Caenorhabditis elegans: one gene and its partners. The protein of the gene in region 1 interacts with the protein of each later gene in a pairwise test. Each region holds a gene or a part of one and is shown in the gene's direction. Other genes may lie near its edges.

Region 1 (8,852 bases):
GTATTCTACTTTAATCATTTATTGTTTTTTTTAAATTTTTATTTTTTTTTTTATTGAACCTTTATTTGATTGTTCCCTAAGCATTCCTAGAAAAGTGGAAATTTGATTTTTGAACATTGTACTTAAACAAAAAAGCAAGAAGCTCTCATTAATGATAGGTGCGCAAACGCACTCCAACCTAATCCGCGACATAATTTTCCCCCATGTACATATATCACGTTCTCTCACAATAAACCTCTGACAGGCCTAACCAATGTCTAGAAAAATGTGTTTTTTCTTCAGTTTATTTTATGGCCATGTTGTTGCAAGCATTGCATTTTATTTTACTTGCTAAAAAAATTTGACCAATGTTTCTGAACTGTAAGTTCAAGAAATTGAAGAAAGTTTATGCACCCGAAAAATTACTAAGTCTTCTCCCAAAGCGTTCTTTCATGTTTTTCAAGCATCTAAGACAAGCTGACGAAAGCAATGATGTTTTCGAATCTAACGGCTTCTTGGTTATTCAATTATTAGTCGGATAACTTTATTCAATTCATTTTGTGGTGTGAGCTATTTAGCTTTCAGCTTGCAGCTTTTGGTGTTTTCTCCAAGTAATAGTTCGAAGCCCGGTATTTTTTTAAATAGAAAATTTACAGAGATGCTAACTCCCACTTCTACTAACCTTTTTTTTAAGTTGAAAGCTCAATGCGTTTACCTTTTTATCTGAGATGATTAATATTTTAATTTTATTTGAACCAGTATTATTAGACGAAGATATATTTTTCAATTACTTATTTGATTTTTTCTCTTCAGACAGTTTATATTTTCTAAACCTTTTTGGTTTTTTATAAACATGAGCTTTTAACTTTGTTGAAGCTTGAGAAACTTTTAATTTTTCATGAAATATAACTTATTTTATGTTTCAACGTCTCGAATATCTTTCCCCTCTTTTAAATACTTTTACTTTTTTCTCGTTTTGCATATGACTCATCTACTTGCTGGAATGCAAAAAAGTATGATGAACAATTTTTAGGGTGAGGTTAGTAGAATACAAGTACTGCAGACACAATATACAATACCTTTCCACAAATGGAAGATTGTGTCTGTGTGTATGAGATGAAATAGATAGAGAGAGAAAGAGAGAAAGAGAGAGTGGCGAGTGTAGAAAGTAACATTTAACAGAAAACGGCATTGAAAGATAGAGAGAGAGAGATGCAGAGAGGCAAAGTGATAGAGAGATGGAGGAATAGTGGTGTCCTGCGTAACTTTTGTCGTCGTTTCTTATCACTTGTTTACGTGCACAGTGCCCCCCCCCCCCCCCCCCCCCCGATGATCAACATTTTTTTGTGAACAGACAACAACATTTTGAAAGGTGATTTCAACGAATTATCTTGTTGAGAGCAAACGGGTCTGAAGCATATTCGTGGCTTAGCAATCTTATCAATTAATTGGTTTTCTTCCAAAAAATTGAGTAAATTGTATAGTTCTATAAGGTTTTTGTAACTGAACACTATAACTTAAAAGAATAACTAAAAATGTACATGCGTCCCGAAATACTTACAAAAATATTTGCGAACCCACACCGTCTAAATGATTCAACAAAAAAAGTTTCGCAATATTATACTATCAGGCAATTTTTGTAAAATCTGACCATTACACATACGGGATTTCCTGAAATGTGTGGTCTTGCGAATTTCGCAACTTTTCATGACAAAAATGTGTTTGGTCACAAAAACGGTTTCTCGACACTTTTTCCGAAAAAAACGTTTGCACTTTTTCACTATTTTTAAATCTATGTTCTGCTTAATTTCATTTCCACTTTTCTCTTAAAACATTTGACAAAAACTATAAGTTCTGACTCCCAATACTTTTTTCGTCGTATTTCCCTTCCGTTAACTCACTCACTGCTCTAGTTCTCAATAACAATAAATCAAGCGCTCAGTTTTTTTCGAGTTTTTATGGGCCCTTTTTGGGGGAAATGAAGGATAAAACGATAAAAACTGCAAAAGTATACTAAAAATAGTAAATTGAAGTTTAAAAAATTTAATATTCCGAAAATTGAAAAAAAAAACCCCATGTTATATGAGTTACTTGCCGCCCACCCACGGAAATTATTTATTTCTGCGTTAGTCATGCAACTAGTAAGAAGATCCCGCGGAACCATGAGTTTTTCTTTGTGATATTTCCAAATTCAGTATCTCCAATTAAATGATTCACACTTCGTTTTCTCCCTGCTTTATAAATGACTCAGCTATTCATGGCAGCTCCATCTTGCTCCTCCTCCCCAGCTTCCATGTTGCACTTGTTCACATCACATCCCATAAAAATTCATGCACCCGCTCCAAGGTTACTATTGGTTCCCAGTGACAACACCAACAAAAACGGATTTCGGTTCTCGTTTTGGTCTGGCACCTTGATTTCAATTTGAATTTTTACGACAACACATCCCGGGCAACGGTTTTTCGCTTTGTTTTCACATTAATTTTTTCTCACTGGGATGAAAATGGGGGCCCCTCTTTTTTCCCTTTTTCTATTTTTCTGCTTCCTACTCACCAAATTGCTTCTGCTCTCTTCTCATTCTTCTATCTTTTCCTCACTTTTTTCCTATTCCTATTTTTCTTATTTCTTCTATTTTTCAACGATCTATTCCGCGTTTTTCTACAGAATTTCGTACTCTCATTCATCAAATCTGAGAACCCTCCGCCAGGAGAAAAAAAGAAGGAAAAAACGTGATTCCCAAATCTTTAATTAAAGGACCAGATTGATGGATAAGTAACGAAAGACCAACACTATCTATTTTACATTTAGATTCGAAAAAAGATTGAATGACACCTCTAAATTTTGTTCACAAAACCGCGAAACCACCATTTGTATTCTTTATTGTCATTTTTCCTCATTTTTCGCTTTGTGAAAAATTTACCCACCGTATTTTTTGCTGAAATCCGTGTCTCTTGCTCTTTCCTTATCCTCATTTAATTTTTGCAGACGATCGCTGGTCGGCGAATTCTACAATTTATGTAGATCGGTGCGGAACGTCTCTCTAGAGTCTTACATCATGGAGCGAAAAGGTAAGAAAAATCTCATTTACCTCAAATTTGCCAAAGCATCTAATTTCGACTTGTTGTAGGACGTGAGCGCAAGCTGCCGGGCATGAAGATCGTGATGCCAACACCGGTCGAGACGCCCACAATGAATCTGGAAGACAGATGTCTTATCAAGTAAGTATTAGGTGATACCCGTGTCGGGTTTGATATTGAACACGTAAAGACGGCGCGGCGAATTATGTAATAATAATATAAGTATGAGAAATTTTTGATTGATGCAGATTGACAAACGAGTCCGAAGAGATTGAGATTGCCGCCACCGACCTCGTCGTACTCGAAGAACTTGGAAAAGGTGGATATGGGATTGTGGAGAAAATGCAGCACAGGCAGAGCGGGATAATTATGGCGGTAAAAGTGAGTATCACAACAAGAACAGTTTGAAAAAATTAACTATGTACATATGTTTGGTAATTCACCAAAAGCGGTTTTTTCAAAAAAATGTTTCATTTTTTCGTAACTTTTCAAAAAGTAACTAAATTCAAATTCCTATTTGGCTGGTGCACTAATAAATAGGCAATTTGTATAAATTTAAGATATTCATAAAATACTTTTCTTTAATTAGGGAAAAACTATTCTAATTTGAATGCAACGTGTCATTTTTCACATACAATAGTTATTCAAAAGCAAATGCAAGTTAGCAAGATGAAGATTATTGAATTTAGGTGTGACTGCAAAAATAATAGTTAGTCTTCATTGCCAACGGAAAGCATTTCCATTTTTTGAAGGGCGCCGTGTGAGACGACACACTGATTGCCTTTTGGCTGTCGGCACACGCGCCCACACGTCACCTTTGAAAAGTTGGTGTATAAATTAAAATTTTCGTGAACAAAGGTAAATTATGGAAGTGAAGAAATGAGAATTTGAGGATAGGATTTCAAACGCAGGTCACTCGTTTCTGATATGATGAAAAAAATCTTTTTTTTTTTGAAAAGGAACATGAGAAATAGATTCAAAGTAGCTTGATATCAAACATTTATGGAATGTATTGAGATTTATCAATACTTACTGATTTCAAAAATTCATTTTCATCCATACACTAGAATAAGTGACTAGGTGATTGTACATCAATATGTATGTTAATAGGACATACCAACAATAAGAACAGTCTGTGACGCGGAAATTTTCCATAAAAAAGGTCACTTCATAGATTTCATATGTTGAACTTTCACTAGAACATATTGCAAATACTTCATATGTAGTTGTGGCAAAGTTCAAGATTAAAGTAAATACAACATGTAAATGGAAAACTGATCTGACCAAAAAATGTTTTCAAATCACGAATATTTAAATTCTCAATATAAAAATTAATCGAAACTACAGATTTAAATACTAAAAAAAAATTATAAATTAAATATTACTGGTTTGAACCGAGACTTAAGCAAATCGCGTATTGAAAAAAATAAAAAATGAATTTTCAAACTAAATCGAATTTATCTTTTAAATTGATCCTAAGCAAATTTCATTTTCTTACAGCGAATCAAATCATCAATCAACGATCAATCTCAAAAGCAGATGCTCAACGAGCTAGACGCGTGCAGGAGAAGTGATTGCTGTCCGCAAATGGTACGGTTCTATGGAGCAATGTTTCGCGAAGGTGATGTCTGGATTTGCATGGAAGTGATGGACACGTCGCTGGACAAATTTTACCGGCACGCATACAAAATTGGCAAACACATTCCAGAGCCGTTTATTGGGAAAATGGCTCTGTCGGTCATTGAAGGACTCAACTTTATGAAAGAGCAACTGAATTTGATTCATCGAGACGTGAAACCGTCGAACATTCTGTTAAATCGACATGGACAAGTCAAGATTTGCGATTTTGGAATTTCAGGTCACTTGACAAACAGCATGGCCAAGGTACGGAAAATCGATAAAAATGAGACCTCTATTAAAAAAATGAAATGCAATTTTATTTGCCGAATGATGTCATGCCAATCAGAGTTATCTTTCAATTTCATCATGACCGGGAAGAAAAATTTCAAAATATATATAGTGTTTCGATTTACAGACTGTACAAGCCGGATGCAAACCTTACATGCCACCAGAGAGAATTGATGGAGAGACTAAGTCAGCCTATGATGTGAGAGCTGATGTATGGAGTTTGGGTATAACAATAATTGAAATCGCCGTTGGCACCCATCCCTACGCAAATTGGAAAACCCCATTTGAACAATTGAAACAGGTTGTGAAAGAGCCGCCACCAAAATTGCCGATGGAAAGTGGTTTTAGTGTTGATTGTCAGTACTTTGTCAAGAGATGGTGAGTTTTTTGGAGTTTCTGGGTGTGGAGTTGGGAAGAGTATGAAAATTTGCAAATTGCAGTCTTGAAAAGGATTACAATGAACGTCCCAAATATCCGGAATTATTGGCGATGCCGTTTATGGAGCAGGCAAGAAATGAGAAGCAATTTAGTATGGCTCGGTTTATCAATGAGGTAAGATTTGCTGCTATCAAAAAGACAATTTTTTTGCTGAAAAATTGAGAAAAACAATCTGTAAATAAATGGGTAAAATTAAATTAAATGTTTATTAATTTCTCCATTTAAATGAAACGTGAAATTGATTTTTAATTTTTAGGCTTAAAAATTGTTGTCTAAGTATAATTGTCCTCCTAAGCCTTAAAATACAAAAGAGTTTTATTTTCTATGTCTAAAAATTCAAGTTTAGCGTTAAAATTTTTGGACGATAGCTTTTAGTGAAAATCGGTATTTTGTTACAAAACACTTTATTGTAGAAACTAAACACTTTAAAATAAATTGAAAATTGGTGAATGATGTCAATTTTGTGAAGTGTGCTTAAATTGCTTTAAGAAATAACAAAAATGCAAAATAAGTGCAATAAAAAAACAATCAAAAAGTCAGGTTATTTCTGAGAAATTTCGAAGAGTAAAAAATGTTGTCAAAAAATCAGTTCGGTACATCAGCAAAGAAAAGTATAGATCAACTTCAAAACATCACCAAAACTTAGCATGTACAGTTTGTTTCCAGCAGGACCAACTTACAGTAAAAGCACCACTGAATGTTATTTTTTATAATTTTTTGTATTTTAATCTGAAAATCGTTTTATATCTGACAATCTTGAATCTTACTAAGGTCCGATGGGCACCTTCTGACGGTTCCCTAGTTAGGTAAAAACTATGCTAGATTTGCGAAAAATTGCAAAAACTTCTGAATTCATTCATTGCAGATTCTCGACACTGTTTGGCGACGATGAGCATCGGGTGTGCCGAATGGCGAACAAGTCTTTTTCTAGTACGACACGTCTCAAATTGAGAATAGCGTTTTTTTGTACGCCTCGCTGGCCGTCAATGGAACATCGATATTTGTTGAATAATCAGCAACGTGGACGGAATAAATTATCACTTCTTTTCCCTTTTTGTCAAATATTGAATTTTATGTTCTTATGTTTTGTTTATATCATATATCTCTCAGATTCCAATTATTTCTTTGCTTCTGGTAACCGTTTCTTTCCGAGTCAACCGCTTATCCTTATTTCATTTTCAATTTTATAGGAAATCTTTCTCTATCGCTTCTTTTTTCGTGTCTTCTCCTCGTAGTTATAATCAATCATCGGTGTTTTTCTACATTTTTTTTACGTTTAAATGTTCAAGTAGTTTATTAGCATCTGTGATTTTTATTTTCAAATGGTAGCTCATAATTTTCCAATCAAACTCGAAATGACCTAGTTGTTTTCTTAAATGATTTTAGTAGTCATTCCTATCTCATCTCATCAGACTTCTCATTTCAATTGTTTAACTTCTTCCTCTGCATATACAGTGCCATTTTCGATGTCAAATTCGTATTCAACATGGATTATTCTACTCTAGAAATCAAAAATGTATTCTATTGCACCCCTCCTCCCGCATTTGTTTCATCTGTGGGTTAATAATGATATTTATAAATTGATGTGCTGTTACAAAAACGAAAACAATCAACATCACTTATCCTTCTTTCTATTTTTCTTCTTCTCTGGTCTTATGCGCTTATTCTCCTTATAACAGTTCTTGCCCAGAAAATCAGCGTACACGTTTCATTTTCTTTTCTGTTCGTTTTCTCCCCTAACTCAGACATTACAAATTTCTAAACGTTTTGTTTTCAATTACACCAACCATCCCCCACTTTTCTCCCTCACCCCATATCAAGGATATGAGTCTCTTTTGGTTTATATTGCTCGAGTAAAGATTTTTTTTTAATTCAGATAACGGTTAAATATCGTGAATTGATGTTGCAATGTCTTCCTGTTTCAGAGCTATGTAAAAACTGACGCCAGTGATAAAATAATGTGGCAACCAGAGGAAGGAAAAATATAAGAATGTGAAAAAGCAAGTTTAGTTCAAATTTTTCAATAGTAAATCACACTACGACTTGATTGGGATAGTTGGTTTTGGTTGCTTTTCAAGATATTTATAAAAACGTTTTTTAAATTTTCCAATATATAAATAGAGAACGAGTGAATATCATTTTCCTTGTTTGAATTGCCATAATTGATAAATTGAAAATATCTGGAAAATAATATAAACAAAAAAGACCAAGAAATATAAATGTTTTGTTTCATTAAGGCACATCATGTACGGACTTCTATTTTACTATTATTTCTATCGTTTTCACCGGAGTTTGCTAAAGTTGCAAAATTCTTAAAAACAACTGATGCTTGTTTCAGAATTGCAACCGACACAACCGACAGCAAAGTTGCCAAAGCTTTCCCAATCATCAAGCATACATTTTTGTTGAACATAAACCTTGGAGTGTTTTCGTGAAACTTTGTTAGAAAAATTTTTTCATTAGAAGTGAAATGCTACTAACTTTCTGGATTGTTGACGCCGGGTTTGCCAGAGCTATCAAATATAAAATTACGAGTGTGGTCACAGATGTCGAGCCACAAGATTCCCGGTGGTTGAGTATGAGCAGCCACAATACGTTTTTATATATATGATGTAACTTTTTGAAACATGTTGAAACTTTTTGAATTTCAATAATAACAATTTTCTTTCTAAATATTGCAATTGACGTTGCAAAAAGTTTTCACTACATGAAGTGAGCAGTACCATTATAAAAACAATAAATTTTCTTGAATCGGTACATGAAATTTTCAGTTTTGAGGATTTGAAAAATATGTAAATACGAAATATGAAGAATACATAAACCACAGAAACATGATCAATTATCAAAACACGGATTTCATTAATTAAAACAGTAAATCAAGAATTCTTACTTAATCATATTTTAACAGCATTATAATTGTATTTCTCACGAAAGGAAAGCTACAGCAGGAGGGAAAAAACAGTAAATTTGATTAAGTTGGGGAAAACCTATTTCTAAACCGTTCTGGTTCTTAAGGAAGTGGTATTGTCTGTGCGTTTTTCGCCTTAATGACAAAAAATTTCAATATGGCATATAAATTTTATATGATTTTCTCAATTTTGCAAAAAAAAATTCGATAAGGCAGAATTACTTCCAATATCCCGCGCAAATGAATGACCTTGTTTTGACATTTTTTTTTTCGTTTTCCGGCTGTGTTAATCAATTTTTACTTGGTTTTTTGTTTATTTTGTAATTAAAACAAATGTTTTTCATAATTGCAGGCACTTCGTGATGAAAATTCGATTTAAAAATTCACCGAAACTGTAAAATTGTCCTAAAATCGATAATTCAACGTTTTAAAGACCTTTTTTGCAAAAAAAATGTCTGAATATTTGAAAAACTGTGTTTCAAGTCAATAATTGAAGTAAGAGAAAAAACAAAAATCTTGAAACTAGGCATTCATGTGCACGA
Region 2 (8,587 bases), on another chromosome or scaffold:
TTTTGTTATTGTTTCCAAGTTGGTTTCCAAGAGCATTTGATAATATTTAATCACTTCTAATTTATGATTTGTAAACTTTGATCAAGATGTTTTTAGTTTTCCAAAAAAAAAAGTATTTTCTCAAATAACACACATAGCAAATTTCGTCTAGGATGTGCAAGTGCCAATAACACAAGTTAAATGTGTAAATCTACAATTTTATGGTATGACTTTTATGGTAACTGAGCAGATGACATGGTCCAATCAAGGCCGCCTCTTTATTCGCCCTCCTCGTTCCCGCTAAATACCTTGTGCCTACGTCACGTCTCTGTAAAATGCAAAGCTAAAGTTTGAGCAATTATTTTTATTGTTAATTTGAAAATAATTTTATCTTTAATATGATCCTATCTGGGAAGACTTTATTAATTCAGAAACCAGTGTATGGGCTTGATTAGGTTATCCCATACATTTAAGAAAAATGAAAAAAAAAACATTAAACATTTTATATGTATTTATTTCAGTGTGTTATCCAATTTCGAAGTTTGTAAAACTTATCCAGATGCGGTTTTATTTAGATCTTTTACAATTTTGAAGAATGTTGGTAAACATTCTGGAGATTTTCAGCTTATTTGAAAAAATGTAAAGTATTTAAAAAAAACCATTTTTTAACTTTTCCAAAAAGCTTTCAAAATGTTCACAACACTATAAAATTAATCAAAAGTTTGCAATTTTAAGTCATTGGGAGCGAGTGCGAAATATCTAAATGTGTCGCTTGAATTTTTGTGATAACCTAAACATAAGATTTTAAATAAAACATATTTCGTTCTTAAACTTAATTGTCCGACTACCCTTTTTCGCATCTTTTTCTTTTGCCCATTTCATCTCCTAGTTTGAGGAATATTTGATGAATTATTCACTCAAATGCATGTTCTAAAAAGCAGTCAGATGTCACATATAAAAAACGGAGGTCCGATAGTTTTATGAGCACTCCGTTTGGAACACAAAATTCAAATTAAAATGAGTCTGCAAGAGAGAACAGATACTATTTAAATGAGAGAACTGCAAAAATTGAAATTTGTGGTTTAATTTCTAAGCGAGTTAAGCTGATAAACCAATTTAAGAAAAATCTAGGAATGGCACATCATATGAAAATTCAAAACATAGGTTCCAACCATTTCTTGGTTTTTGGAATGATTTGCAAGTAGTCCCAGTTGGGAAAAACTACTTCTATAAAATGAGCAAATAACATTGGCAAATGTTAAGAAAAATGAAACCTAAAGTTTCGTAAATTTTGTAATCTTCCAAATCTATGACACCAAAAATCTAAGTGAAACTCCGAACCCATCTATAAATATTTAAAAGGTGTCATCATAATCGAACAGCTTACCATAAATCTTCCTTTTAAGTTTTATTAACTCCTTTTTAAATTTCCTTTTACTTACACCCAAATCCTATTTTCCCATTGAATTCAATCTCATCCTCATTTTCTCTTCTTTCTCCTGTTCCCATGAAAGTATCTCTATTTCCTTCTATAAGTTGGAAAGCACGAGAGATATAGAAGGATACTGACAATTATGACCATGAAGTCATATGATCGGATTATAAACTTATGACGGGTTATGAATGTGTGCTCGGTTTGCAAAATATGTGGACTTTAGACTTTCTTGAGACAAAATCGAGAATTTCGAGACAAATTATACATCAATGAGCATTTTTTAGACGAATGGATGGATAGCTGCGCAAACCACGAAAGACATGATTTCTGAGGTTTCCCTTACATGTTATGCATTATTTTTAGCCATTACCAGAAACATACAATGTTTTCGAACTACAGACTTCATTACCTTGCCAACGTCAAAAATAATCAACATTTTCTCTAGTCATTGTTACCCAGGAAAATTTTTGAAATTTCAAACCTGGAGCGAGCTTCATCTTTGAGCACGTACAATTTCTAAATGTCTTAGACAATTTGAACCAGGTGCAAAAGTCTCTTAGAAAAATGACATTAAAGAAAGAAAATCCTGGCATTTTCTTTCTGGAAACCAATTCTTTATCTGAACTTTATCCGATGTAATCTTCTTGCGAAAGGGATTAATGAGTGGATCAACTCAGATTTATTTCTTGGATTGGGAACTTATTAGAGTTGTCAATGAAAAATTAATGGAAAAGGGAAATCTCTTATTACCGACACTAAGCTCATTCGAGCTTCTCCCAACTTTTCCCGCCGTATCTAAAATATCGACCGTAAAAAATTTAAGATAAATTCTCAACCGAGTTTTATGTTTTTTGTGCCATTAAAAAAAGGCCTACCTGAGTTTCATTGACTATAACCTAATTACTTTGAAAATTTAGATGTTACTGCTCCATTTATTTTGTATTTTTAAAAGTTGATCAGTCTGGCTATGTTTTCATTTCAATTCTGATTCTTATTCTCCCATTATTACCTGATTCATCATATTTTAGAATATTTACCTTTTTATGTCATAACAACCATAGACTTACTCAGTCTGACGATAAAGTGAAGTCACGGGAAACAACAGAAAAGCGGGTCATAAATCAATGCTACCGTAGTCATGCACACATATCTTTTCCAATTACTTTTCCCTTCAATCTTCTTCGTTTTCATCTTTTTCTCAATTCCATCGTCTCTCTAATCTCATCTCGCCCTCTTTTTTCACACCTCCTTCTGCTTCATTCCTTCGCCATCGCACTTTGTGACGTTGTCTGGCGCGAGGCGGCTCGCGTCGCGGCTTTTTTGGCTTGAAGGAGAATGAGAGAGCAACAAGTGCTCCAAACTTATTCGTCATCGTTTTTCCCCTTTTTTCTCTCCCTCACTTCTTTCATCCCAGCTGACACACAACGTCTTCTATTCCATCCACCCCATCTGACTCCTCCCCCTTCTCTTCTCTCTTCCTATTTTTCCGTCTCTTTCCCTTTTCTCGTCGTTCTCTTTTCTTCATCTTCTTCTTTCTTTTTGGCTGGCTCAGAGCTCCCACGGAGCAAGCTCACTCACTTTTTGCCCGGTCGTCGTCTTCTTCAGCCGACCGATCGACGTCCTCTCGTCACATGCCCCACTATCAGGAGGGGTTGGCGAAGAGCGCGGGACATGGTTAGTTTCAATATTTTTATTTCTTAAATTTTAATTGAATATGAATGATTCAATAATTTTGAGTGAATGTTCCCAGAATGATCGTAATTTACGTGTTAATGGGGGAAGAAATTGGTAAATAATTTCACTTTTCTGTTTTATGTTCAATTAGCAGTGCGATCCCGCGCGCCTGCTTACAATTAAGGTACTGTATTTTGACGTGAACCCTACAGTGTAATTCAGAAGTTCCACAGAAAGCGCGTAGATGGTGAGAGGCGACTCGATCTGGATGTGAACCTAAATGCGTTTTCTCTTCTGACTCGTAACAGGGGTGTGCGGATAATAGCCGATTTAGCCGAATTAGCCGATTTGAATGACTGAGATTAGCCGAATTAGCCGATTTGAATGACTGAGATTAGCCGAATTAGCCGTTAGCCGAAAATTTTGAAATTAGCCGTTAGCCGAATTAGCCGTTAGCCGGTTCTCAAAAAATCGGCATTAGCCGATTAGCCGATTTATCCGTTTGAAAAAAATCGGTTATCCGCACACCCCTGGCTCGTAACAGTATATCTAGAAATGTTTCTAGACTCAAACTATTCATAAGCTTATGCCTAGGCATTCGGTATAACTAAGTACAACTTGCCAGTTTTTCAAAAACTTATGTCTATCTCATCAAAAGTGCGACTTGGCTTCAGTGTCTGGCTGAAAATCGGTTCTGACGAATTCTGACTCAATATTCTTGGAATCAATCAACTAATACACCACGTCTAATATTCAATTTTCGAAAATGACTCTATTGTTTACACATTCTTTGAGCGTGCCAATTTCCCGAATTGTGCTTTTGGTAATTCGACACCTTTTTATGATGGGCTCTTGTGAATATATAAAAGTTCAGTGGAAGCTCTCGGGCTTCAGAGATTTGACGTCACCTCTTTTAAAAAAGTTGTAAACTTGTTCTCCATTTTTAGCACCAATGACATCAGTACTGCTAACTTTGTCCAAAAATTAACAAAAAGTTACTCATTTTGAAACATATTATTGTTTTCGAAACCCTTTGAAATTTCAAATCTTCTCGGCGATTTCTTGAATAAAGTAAACATTTTGCAAAATATGTTAAACTTCTGTTCAGAAATCATGTTTACTAACAAGATTATGACGTCATTTTGTTGATCATCTTAAAGTCGTGGACTTTCTCAGACAAGATTAACCAAGCTAGATTCAATGGAGAAGCTTAGCGTAGGCGAAGTAAACTTTGAATTCCCTTCTGATTTGATTTTCAATCTTAGAATGTTATGAAAAAGTTCAGAATATTCTAATTAGATTTTCTCGAAAACCAGGAAATTCCTTGTTATCCTCCCTTTCTCTGTTTTTGTTGTCATTTCCGTGAGCCCTCGAGCTTTTCGAATTATTCCGAGAAGCAGCTAAATGATTAAGTGAAAAAACGAGGAAGCAGCAGCTTTATGTGTGAGAGGGAGCGGCATGTGAAATGAGGCTTAATTGAGGATTTAAAGGATTCTCAAGCTTATGAGAAAATAGATACTTAGAGCTCAGAGATCTGGAAGTTTTTCTCTGAAACTTGCATGTTTCTTGGTGAGCATAGCCGATCAGAGCTCATTTTCAATATTTTTAACTCTTGCCAACTCTACCATCGTGATGCCTTCTGTCCTAATTGAAAAAATCAAACTAAAACCACTGAATTATGATTTAAAAAAAAATTAAATAATTTACAGAATGGTTCTATCTCGGAGTTGGTGGAGCCGTCGGTCTCGCGGCTCTTGTAGCCGTTGCCGCTCTTCTCGCAGTTCGTAAACGTCGTCAATATCCGTCACTTCTTCTTCCCCCGAGACAGGTAATAGTTTGAATTATAGCTGAAATAATCTCAATTTTTTATATAGTGAACTCTTGAACTCAGTCGACAAATTTATTTTTTGACCTTTTCAAATTTAATAATTTTTGATCCCTAGGATTCTAATGTCATTTTCTTATTTTCAGTGGGGTTTCATCTGTTCTAGTTTTCAGGAGGTTACGTGTCTGTCTGAATTTCATTAAAAATTGATGATTAGTCACATTCAGAACTCCTCAGAGTACACGTACACTTTTCAATTCCTCTCTTGTTCTCCATATTTCTTGCACTTTATCGGTTTCCGTTTCTCTTTAGATTACCAAAATCCAGGGATCAATTTCTATTTTTGAATATTTCTAATGTTTCTTTGAACGAACAACGTCACATTCTGTTTGTCCACAGCAAAGAAAAAATGGAAAAAATAGAGAAAAAAAGAAAAGAACGAGTCTCATTTCGTTTCTTAAATTTCATTAGTAAGAGAAAAATAAAGATATGACCATGAATAATTACAACCAAAACACATTATAGACCAAGGACTACATACATTTTTCTAGGTGATTGCTGTCCGTGGTGGATTTCCCAAGGGCCCTGGAGGCCTAAAGCAGAGCCCATCTCCTCTTCAATCGCCGCTTTCTAATGACTCCACGCCATCGCCAGTCGTTCCATTGCAGAATCTTTTGGAGGATCGAACCAGAAAAGTAAGTCGTAAAATAATGGCGTAGGCAACATATTTATATTTTCTAAAATAGGAGTATCTAATTATGAAACCCCAATTGTGAGAGCCTACACCTAAAAGCCAAACTTGAAGGCCGAGGCTAACAGCCTAATTCCGGGCTCTGGCAAATCCAATTAAAAATAACTATAGTTGCTCAATTATTCGTTTCAGCTATCCCCATCAGAGCTTCCATCCGAACGTGGAAACATCTCGTTCACATTGAGCTATGACTCTCACACTCTAACCCTTCTTGTCAGTATCATAAACTGCCGAAATCTCTGTGAGATGGTAGTTTCTCGTGACGGACAATGTCTCCTTGATCCATATGTCAAGTTACAACTACTTCCCGAACGTGAGCATCGTGTCAAGACGCGTATCGTTCGTTCAACCACCAGCCCAGTTTATGAGGAGCAATTTGCAATGTATGGAGTCACTCACGAGCAAGTTAACTTTGCCACGTTGCACTTCCAGGTAGAGAGCAAAGGGTTTTTGAAAACATGAAAGGATTTTCAGGTCGTCGCATTCGATCGTTACTCCCGAGACACTGTCGTTGGAGAATGTGTCTACAGATTGGCTGATGCAGAACTTCAAGTTCACAATGAGATGAGGTATTATTTTGTTTTACAGACTTTACAGACTTCAAATATTTATATGCTATGTTTTTCTAGAGAAAAAGGGAGAAGATCGAAATGTAGAACAAATTAGACAAAAAATATTTTAAACACCCGCATGTCAAATTAAGAGGCTCCGGGTGACGTCACACGTTTGAAAACTCGGTCACATTGTTTTTATACCAAAACAGAATTATCTTATATTGCTTTATCGTTTTTTATCATTTTAAAAACTATTCTTTAAATTTTTTATTAACAAAAGACATTTGATGCTAATTTAAAATTCTCCAGAGTTGAACTCCCTCTCCTCCCACGTGCCACTGATACTGTAGCTGCTCGTGGAGAGCTTCTTCTCTCATTGACATATCAAGCTGCATTCAACAATTTGACAGTTGTTGTTCTCAAAGCCCGTGGACTCGGAGGACGAAACGATGCCGGAACTGCAGGTATAGACTCTTGATTCCTTTTTTTGTTGATTTCTCGCATGAACAATCTCATGATCCTCAATGAATGACTGCAGTGATCTAGAAAATGTTTAAAAATAGAACATTTTTCCAGATCCATTTGTCAAGTTATACTTGCGCAAGGAAAGTGGAGAACGTATCGTTAAAAAGAGAACACATGTGAGAAGGTCTACTTTGAATCCTGTCTACAACGAATCGTTTGTCTTTGAACTTCCAGATGATAGATTGGAACATTCTGTTATTGACTTGCAGGTTAGTGAGAAAAGGGAAAAATTATGAAGAATACGACAAAGTATCAAACCTTCGCAACTTTCCTTCTGAAAAACGTACTTTAAGCTGCACATATATATTTGAATAGTCTCACCGCGAGGAACAGCTTATGGTAGCACCACAGAAACTCACAGAGGACTGCAAACACGCCTTATAACACTGAGAGTTTAAATTTTGTGATTTATGACTAAAAAAATGCGTCACCTGGTCTTGACACGACTTTATATTTTTAAATTAAAATAAATGTTTCCCCTTAAAAAGTACAGTAGTTTCCACGACTCGCAGTTCCTTTCGTCTTTTTTTTCTTTTTTCGTTTATCTATATTTTGTTCATAATTTTTTCTCACATTCAGTACTTGGCTAAATAAAACATATTTTTAGAAGAAAAAAGGAAAAAAATCGTTAATTTTCGCGATAGCGAGGCGTGGAAATTACTGTACTCATTAAGAAACACACTCATATTCGGTCGTGTCAAGACCGGGTACTGTATTCTTTTGGTGATATATCGCTAAATTCCACATGTGGGTTATATACTATTCTTGTTGCATATAAAAACGGATAAACTTTCGAATACCCAAATAATCAAAAATTCTAAAATATACATACTTATCAAGCCGAGACCCAAAGGGAAAGGGATTTCGAGCGCCGTTAATATGATTACAATATCTACAATATTATTATATGCTTCCAGGTGATCAATCATGACCGTGTTAACCGTAATGATGTAATTGGCCGTGCCCTTCTTAATATGGAAGATTCTCACGTTGTCGAAGTTCTTGAGAATCCAGGAAGACAAGTTGCTCAGTGGCATCATCTCGATTAAAAAATTTAAACCTTTTTTTTTGCTTTTATTTCTGTAGACCTCTACTGGTTTTCGAACCTAATCCCCCATACTTTTCCATTAAATAACAGTCATCACTCTCTCCGTCCACAACTGAAATTTTGTATTCTCTCTCCCATCATGTTTTGTCAGATAATTATATTCATTTTAACATTTTAACATGAATTCTCTCTCTCTCACAGACACGTTGACATCTGAAACAGGCAATTAACATCATTTTTAATTTCAAATTCTTTTTTTATTTTTCGATGGAATAAAGATCCGTTCCAATTCTGTTATTTTATGGTTTTTTTCTTCTTGAATACTCTAGAACTTGTGATTGGGGATTTTTCTTTACGGTTCTTCAAGTACCCAAAATATTTTGAAATTCAGAAATATCAATTTTAAAATTGAAATCTCTTCTCAATTGAATTTTTTCATGTTTGAAATTCCTCCAAAATGACAAGCCACGTCCTCTTTATAACCAATCAGCGTATTCGAACTTTACCAGGGGCGGAGCTAATCATTGATTGATCTTGCAGTTTTCAATTAGGGGGAAGTTCAAATATTATGATCATGTAGAAATGCATTTGTATAAACGGTTACAATATTTTACCTACGATTCCTTAAAAAATACAAAAGCAATGTTATATATCGAAAATTCCCAGGTAACACACATTCACTAAATCGCTCATTTACTTATTTTTCTTTAATTGTTCTGACATAATAGAAGATATCACGAAAGAACCACACATTCATTTAAATCAATACTATTTTATAAAAGAAGAAAAAATACGA
Region 3 (6,298 bases), on another chromosome or scaffold:
AGTTTGTTTTGAATATGAAGAATTTATTTTCAGAACGTTTTTATTTGATTGATAATTTTTTTTTTGAAAAAAAAATCTGGTTTCAAAATTCTAATAATAAAATGGCACATTATTGAAAATTTCAATACGTTCTCTAACTTGAAATCCAAAAAATCTATATTTTCCCATACTTCCCATTCCAAATCAAAAGTTGATCTCTCCCCCATCATACCCCCGGCTCCGCCCATTTCCTCCCATCATCAAATATATTTGTGTGTCATTGAAACTTCTTATAGTGGGCGGAGTCATTTCGGCTCCACCCACATTTTTCCGTTATATAAAAGTGTGCGACGGCGAGACACAAACATCACCGTTTTCTCTTGTTTTTATAGGTTTTCGTGGCCGATAAATGTTCAATGATTAGTTGAGTGTAGGCCAAATATTGAGTATAGGCTTAGGCTTAGTCTTAGGCATAGGCCTGAGCCTAGGCTTAGTCTTAAACTTAGGCTTAGGCCTAGGCTTAGGCTTTGACTTTGACTTAGGCCTAGGCTTAGGCCTAGGCTTAGGCCTAGGCTTAGGCCTAGGCTTAGGCCTAGGCGTAGGCCTAGGCTTAGGCTTAAGCTTAGATTTAGGCTTGGGCTTAAGCTTAGATTTAGGCTTGGGCTTAAGCTTAAGCTTAGGTTCAAGCTTAGGCCTATACTAGGCTTAGACTGAGGCTTAGGCTTTGGCTTTGGCTTGGGTTTTGATTTAGACTTTGACTTAGGCTTTGACTTAGGTTTTGCCTTTAGGATTAGGCTTAGGTAAAGGTTTAGGCTTAGGCTAAGGGTTAGGCTTAAGCTTGGATGATCGGTTTTTTGTAGTGTTTCTAATCTTCACAAAATATGTGTCCATTATTCTCTATAAAAAAAATCAACTGAATAATAACAATATTTTTAGATTGGAACATTTTTTATGATTTTTCAATTCCCAAACGAGTTTTAAAGTGAGGTGTATATTGGGATTTTTAACTTTTTTTTTCTGATTTTGCTTTCCCATATTACTTATTTATATAACGTAAGCGAAAAAAGGATTAAAAAAAAGGATTAAAGGACGATCCGTTCTTCAAGTGCAATGCACTGCGGATCTGGGATTCAGGTACACTGCCCTCTGGGCTGTAATTTAAGCCACGTCCTAGCCGGGGACTGTGGCCGATAATCCAGTCGTGGATTGCTCCACTTCCCAATAGAGGCTGGGTGAACCTAGGGGGTGAGGCCGGACTTGAACTCGTGACCTCCAGACTGCTAGCGGCCACCACTACCGACTGAGCTATCTGCCCCCATCAGGATAAATTATAGACAGTAAGAAACAGTGAAATTTATTTTCAAAAAAACATTCTTATTTCAAAAAATATTTCAATCATTGTATCACTTCCCCAACTTTCAAATCTTTTATTTTTTCTATAACGTAAGCGAAAAAAATCAGGATAAATTATAGACAGTAAGAAACAGTGAAATTTATTTTCAAAAAAACATTCTTATTTCAAAAAATATTTCAATCATTGTATCACTTCCCCAACTTTCAAATCTTTTATTTTTTCTATAACGTAAGCGAAAAAAATCAGGATAAATTATAGACAGTAAGAAACAGTGAAATTTATTTTCAAAAAAACATTCTTATTTCAAAAAATATTTCAATCATTGTATCACTTCCCCAACTTTCAAATCTTTTATTTTTTCTATAACGTAAGCGAAAAAAATCAGGATAAATTATAGACAGTAAGAAACAGTGAAATTTATTTTCAAAAAAACATTCTTATTTCAAAAAATATTTCAATCATTGTATCACTTCCCCAACTTTCAAATCTTTTATTTTTTCTATAACGTAAGCGAAAAAAATCAGGATAAATTATAGACAGTAAGAAACAGTGAAATTTATTTTCAAAAAAACATTCTTATTTCAAAAATATTTCAATCATTGTATCACTTCCCCAACTTTCAAATCTTTTATTTTTTCTTTCATAGGTTCAATGTTCTTTTTTATCACTAAAGATTGAGAGTTGATAAGAAAATTCGTGGAATCACGTGAAAAACGCATGTGTCTCTCGTTTTTCAAATAAAGTGACCCCTCTGTTACAACGTAAGATTGGGTGTCCGTGCTACTCTGTGCACAAAGTGCAGATGGGCAGTCGGGCGGTGTAAGAAATATAGAATCTACAGATCTTTGAGAAAACTGACCAAAACGGCTATGTATTGAAAATAAAAGTTTTCTTTTTTTTTAAATTAATATTTTGAAACAGAAAAAAATTTTCAATGAAAATTCGAATTTATTTTTGAGTTTTTATGCTAAAAACTTGCAATTCTTGGAAGAATTCAATTTATTTTAAAATGTTATAGATAGAAACTGCAAATACTTTTCTTAAAGTTTACTAGAAGAAATGGAACGTTTGAAACAGCAAAAATTTGGAAAAAAAATGAAATTTGGTAAATGAAATTTAAAATTTTTTATATTTTTAAAAATCATAATTTCCCAGAAAAAAACCTTTACCGGACCAAAAATCAAACGCTATGCAAATTGGCGGGACCAAGTCCAAAGACCAAATGCACGTATGCATACACATATCTTATCTCCCCCGTTTTCTCTCTGCGTCTCTCCATTCTGAACACTCTCGTGTCTCTCCCACTATTATTGTCTTCCCATGTCATCGAAATCAACATAAATCTAGGTTTATCTAGAACCACGTGACCCAACGCCCCGCCCCGCCCATCAGTCTCAAAGAACTTTCACTCTGCTTTCCAAGACACTCACTTCGTATACACTTGCCTTATCACCGAGTACTCTGCCCCCCGCCTAAGCTCTCCTTTTTGTCACTATAAATATCATATCAATTTATTATAAAACAGTGTACACTAGTGTTTCTACCATCCATTCCTACTCTCCCAGACATGTCGCGTATGATTTTCAACGCTTTTTTCGCATTTTTCAACACCTTCTAATTACAGAAATGGCTCAATCACTCCGCAGTCAATTCGCCACCGACAAGCAGGTCCTGCAAAAGTTCCTGAACTTGGACCAAAAGGGCATGTACCAGGCCCTCTACATTTGGATTGACGGATCCGGCGAGAACATTCGTGCCAAGACCAGAACCTTCGATTTTGAGCCAACTGACCCAGAGAGTGAGTTTTGTTTTTTTGCAGAAATTCCAGAACATCTAGTTTAGATGCTTCTAGTTTAGTTTAGTTTAGATGTCATTGAAACGGCAATTGTTAAAAGTATGAATTTTCAATTAAGATTTTCGGATTCCACGTAGCAACTTTAACAAAATATTTCAAATTTTCGATGCAAGCCCCATATCTTGCTACCTTACAACAATTCCCTCCGATTTCCAGAGCTCCCAATTTGGAACTTTGACGGATCATCCACCGGTCAAGCCGAGGGAGCCGACTCCGACGTCTACCTGAAGCCAGTCGCCATCTACCCAGACCCATTTAGGCAGGGAAAGAACAAGTTGGTGATGTGCGAGACCTATGACAACAAGAAGAAGCCAACCGGTGAGTATTTGGAAGTTCGATGGTGACACCGAGAGAAGAGATAGGTAGAGATAAACGACGAAGGCGAGAGAGAGAGAGAGAGAGAGAGAGTGGGGGTCCAAGTGTCAGGTGGTCAGTGCCGCGTAGTCCTTGATTAACAATTGATTAGAACCAGTTATGGTATATTTTTCATAATGTGTGCTTTGATGCCTCCTAGATTAGACTACACATCCATCTTTGCCCCCCGTCTGCTAATCGGACGCCCTCGGAGGCTCATCTGTTGGGTCAACAGTGATGTACTATGTACAGAGGGATGGGGTGGTTGACCACGAGTTGATAAGACGGGCGGTTGATAAGTGAACTTATGAACTGGCCAAAGTTCCTTTTCAAGACGCAAAACAATGAGGGGCAGGATAGCTAGTGGTGGCCGCTAGCCATCTGGAGGTCACGAATTCAAGTTCGGCCCAGCCTCTATTGGGAAGTGGAGCAATCCACGACTGCATAATCGGCCATAGTCCCCGCCTAGGACGTGGTTTAAGTTATAGCCCAGTGGGAGCACTAAGTGTACCTGACTTCTAGATCCGCAGTACATACACTCAAAAAAATAAAACTGCGTGGTGTGTATTGCAGAAAACCTAATATTTAGGCTCCGCCTTTTTATCGTCCACCCACGGGGAAAAGGCGAAATTCGGGACCCAACCAATATCAGGCCGCCGACATCTCACGGACTCCGCGCGCCGCTATGTTTAACTCGCAGCGGGCGGAGACAGCTTGCCACGCCCACAACGAGTTAAACGCAGCGGCGCGCGGAACTCGTCAGATGTCGGCGGCCTAATATTGGTTTGGTCCCGAGTTTTGCCTTTTCCCCGTGAGGGGACGGTAAAAATGTGGGGCCGTTTATTATTTTGAGTGTAGCACAACGGATCGTCCTTTAATCCTTTTTTCTAAACTGTGAATATTCCAGCCACCAACTACCGCCAGCGATGCAAGGAGGTGATGGAGAAGGCCGCCGACCAGCACCCATGGTTCGGAATGGAGCAGGAGTACACCCTTCTCGACATTGACGGACATCCATTCGGATGGCCAAAGAACGGATTCCCAGGACCACAAGGACCATACTACTGTGGCGTCGGCGCCAACAAGGTCTACGGTCGCGACATCGTCGAGGCTCACTACCGCGCATGCCTCTACGCCGGAATCCAGATCTCGGGAACCAACGCCGAAGTGATGCCCGGACAATGGGAGTTCCAGGTCGGGCCATGCGAAGGAATCCAGATGGGAGATCAGTTGTGGGTGGCTCGCTACTTGCTGCAACGTGTCGCCGAGGAGTTTGGCGTGATCGCCTCGTTCGATTGTAAGCCGATCAAGGGAGACTGGAACGGAGCCGGATGTCACACCAACTTCTCCACTGATAAGATGAGAAATCCAGGAGGAATTGAGTGAGTTTTTAGGGCATCAAAAATCTGATTCGTGAGATAGTTGCCTAGTGCTTGAACATTTTCCGAGGAGTAGGTTTTCACGGCGGCCGACATTTTCTGAGTTTTGCCACTCACTATACTTAATCATAAATGTTACAATGAGTGACTAAACTAGTAAATTGTCGGCCGCCGTGAAAACCGGACTACGGACGCCCGATATGCCAGCCCTAGTGCTGAGGAACCTTGATGGATAACAATCCTTTTATGGCCTAAAATTTCTTGGGGGCTTTTGGTCTAGAAAATTCAAGTTTTGGGCCTAGCTTGTTCTTCAGGCCATACACACCGCGGGCTTCTATTAAAATTCGGCTTAGAAAAATCTTACCTAGTTTTCGAAAAACTATGACGTCATACTTACTATTTAATTTTTCAGCGAGATCATGTCCGCCATCAACAAGCTCTCCCTTGTCCACCCACAACACATTGCCTACTACGATCCACACGGTGGAAAAGACAACGAGCGTCGTTTGACCGGACTCCACGAGACCGCATCGATCGACAAGTTCTCCTACGGAGTCGCATCCCGTGCCTCATCCATTCGTATTCCACGCTCCACCGACGATGATGGATACGGATACTTCGAAGATCGCCGTCCATCATCCAACTGTGACCCGTACACCGTCACCGGAGCCCTCGTCAGAACTGTGTGTCTTGAGGGAGCCGAGCGTAAACTGTCGATGATGTATGTTCCAAGCCAGGCACCAAATATTACCAAGCATTAGAGTTCGGATAGTTTGAGTGTGATGATTCTTTTTTTTTTTGAATACTTATTAATCTTTTGTAAAGAACATTTACATTTTAATTGTACAAATAAAAGTTTCAAAATTTCAAAAAAAAATCTGATGAACCTATATCCGTATTTAAACAGGATATTAATTAAATTTAAAAAAATACCACAAAGCAATATCTTGTAATGTTGAAACAGTAAATCACATTTTTCAACTAAATTTTTGAAAATAGAATCCCACGTGGATCGACAAATTGAAATTAAAGGAGAGGCTGAGAAGAATATGCAAGTAGTGAAACATGATGAAAAAATTAACATGGAAGTTCGAAATTCTCAGTGTGATTCAATTCAAACTTCATATTACGTGTTTATCCACAGATCAGAAAAATCGCCATATCTGCCGCGCAAATGAACCCGCGGGAAGAGACAAAACTACTGTAGTTTTTAACCAATTTGTGTAGATTTACGAGCTATTGCGTCATCGTTGAATTTAATCAATTTTTAATTTTCAGGCGTTTTTCTAATTTTTTTGTGTTTTCTTTTAAGATTTATTCAAAAATTGATAAATTTCAATATAAAAATGTGTGAAACCCCTGAAAATTAAAAATTGC

What was found. The genes of interacting proteins can lie anywhere in the genome.
Region 2: the proteins of sek-1 (region 1) and snt-4 interact in a two-hybrid assay, tested with the Caenorhabditis elegans proteins (one large-scale study listed by BioGRID).
Region 3: the proteins of sek-1 (region 1) and gln-3 interact in a two-hybrid assay, tested with the Caenorhabditis elegans proteins (one large-scale study listed by BioGRID).

What each region holds. Positions count from the first base shown.
Region 1 is NC_003284.9:7,813,770-7,822,621, forward strand, and holds sek-1 (Dual specificity mitogen-activated protein kinase kinase sek-1), read left to right. Parts: upstream 1-2,964; 5' UTR 2,965-3,034; coding exon 3,035-3,047; intron 3,048-3,106; coding exon 3,107-3,197; intron 3,198-3,304; coding exon 3,305-3,437; intron 3,438-4,556; coding exon 4,557-4,940; intron 4,941-5,091; coding exon 5,092-5,342; intron 5,343-5,404; coding exon 5,405-5,516; intron 5,517-6,267; coding exon 6,268-6,294; 3' UTR 6,295-7,267; downstream 7,268-8,852. UniProt on the Caenorhabditis elegans protein: Dual specificity protein kinase which acts as an essential component of the p38 signal transduction pathway which is also composed of upstream effector nsy-1 and downstream effector pmk-1. May phosphorylate pmk-1.
Region 2 is NC_003279.8:6,433,106-6,441,692, forward strand, and holds snt-4 (C2 domain-containing protein), read left to right. Parts: upstream 1-2,940; 5' UTR 2,941-3,045; coding exon 3,046-3,088; intron 3,089-4,797; coding exon 4,798-4,916; intron 4,917-5,464; coding exon 5,465-5,608; intron 5,609-5,796; coding exon 5,797-6,096; intron 6,097-6,138; coding exon 6,139-6,233; intron 6,234-6,527; coding exon 6,528-6,682; intron 6,683-6,794; coding exon 6,795-6,952; intron 6,953-7,660; coding exon 7,661-7,792; 3' UTR 7,793-8,087; downstream 8,088-8,587.
Region 3 is NC_003282.8:16,167,281-16,173,578, reverse strand, and holds gln-3 (Glutamine synthetase), read left to right. Parts: upstream 1-2,900; coding exon 2,901-2,907; intron 2,908-2,957; coding exon 2,958-3,131; intron 3,132-3,148; exon of another isoform or gene 3,149-3,169; intron 3,170-3,344; coding exon 3,345-3,506; intron 3,507-4,449; coding exon 4,450-4,924; intron 4,925-5,333; coding exon 5,334-5,682; 3' UTR 5,683-5,798; downstream 5,799-6,298.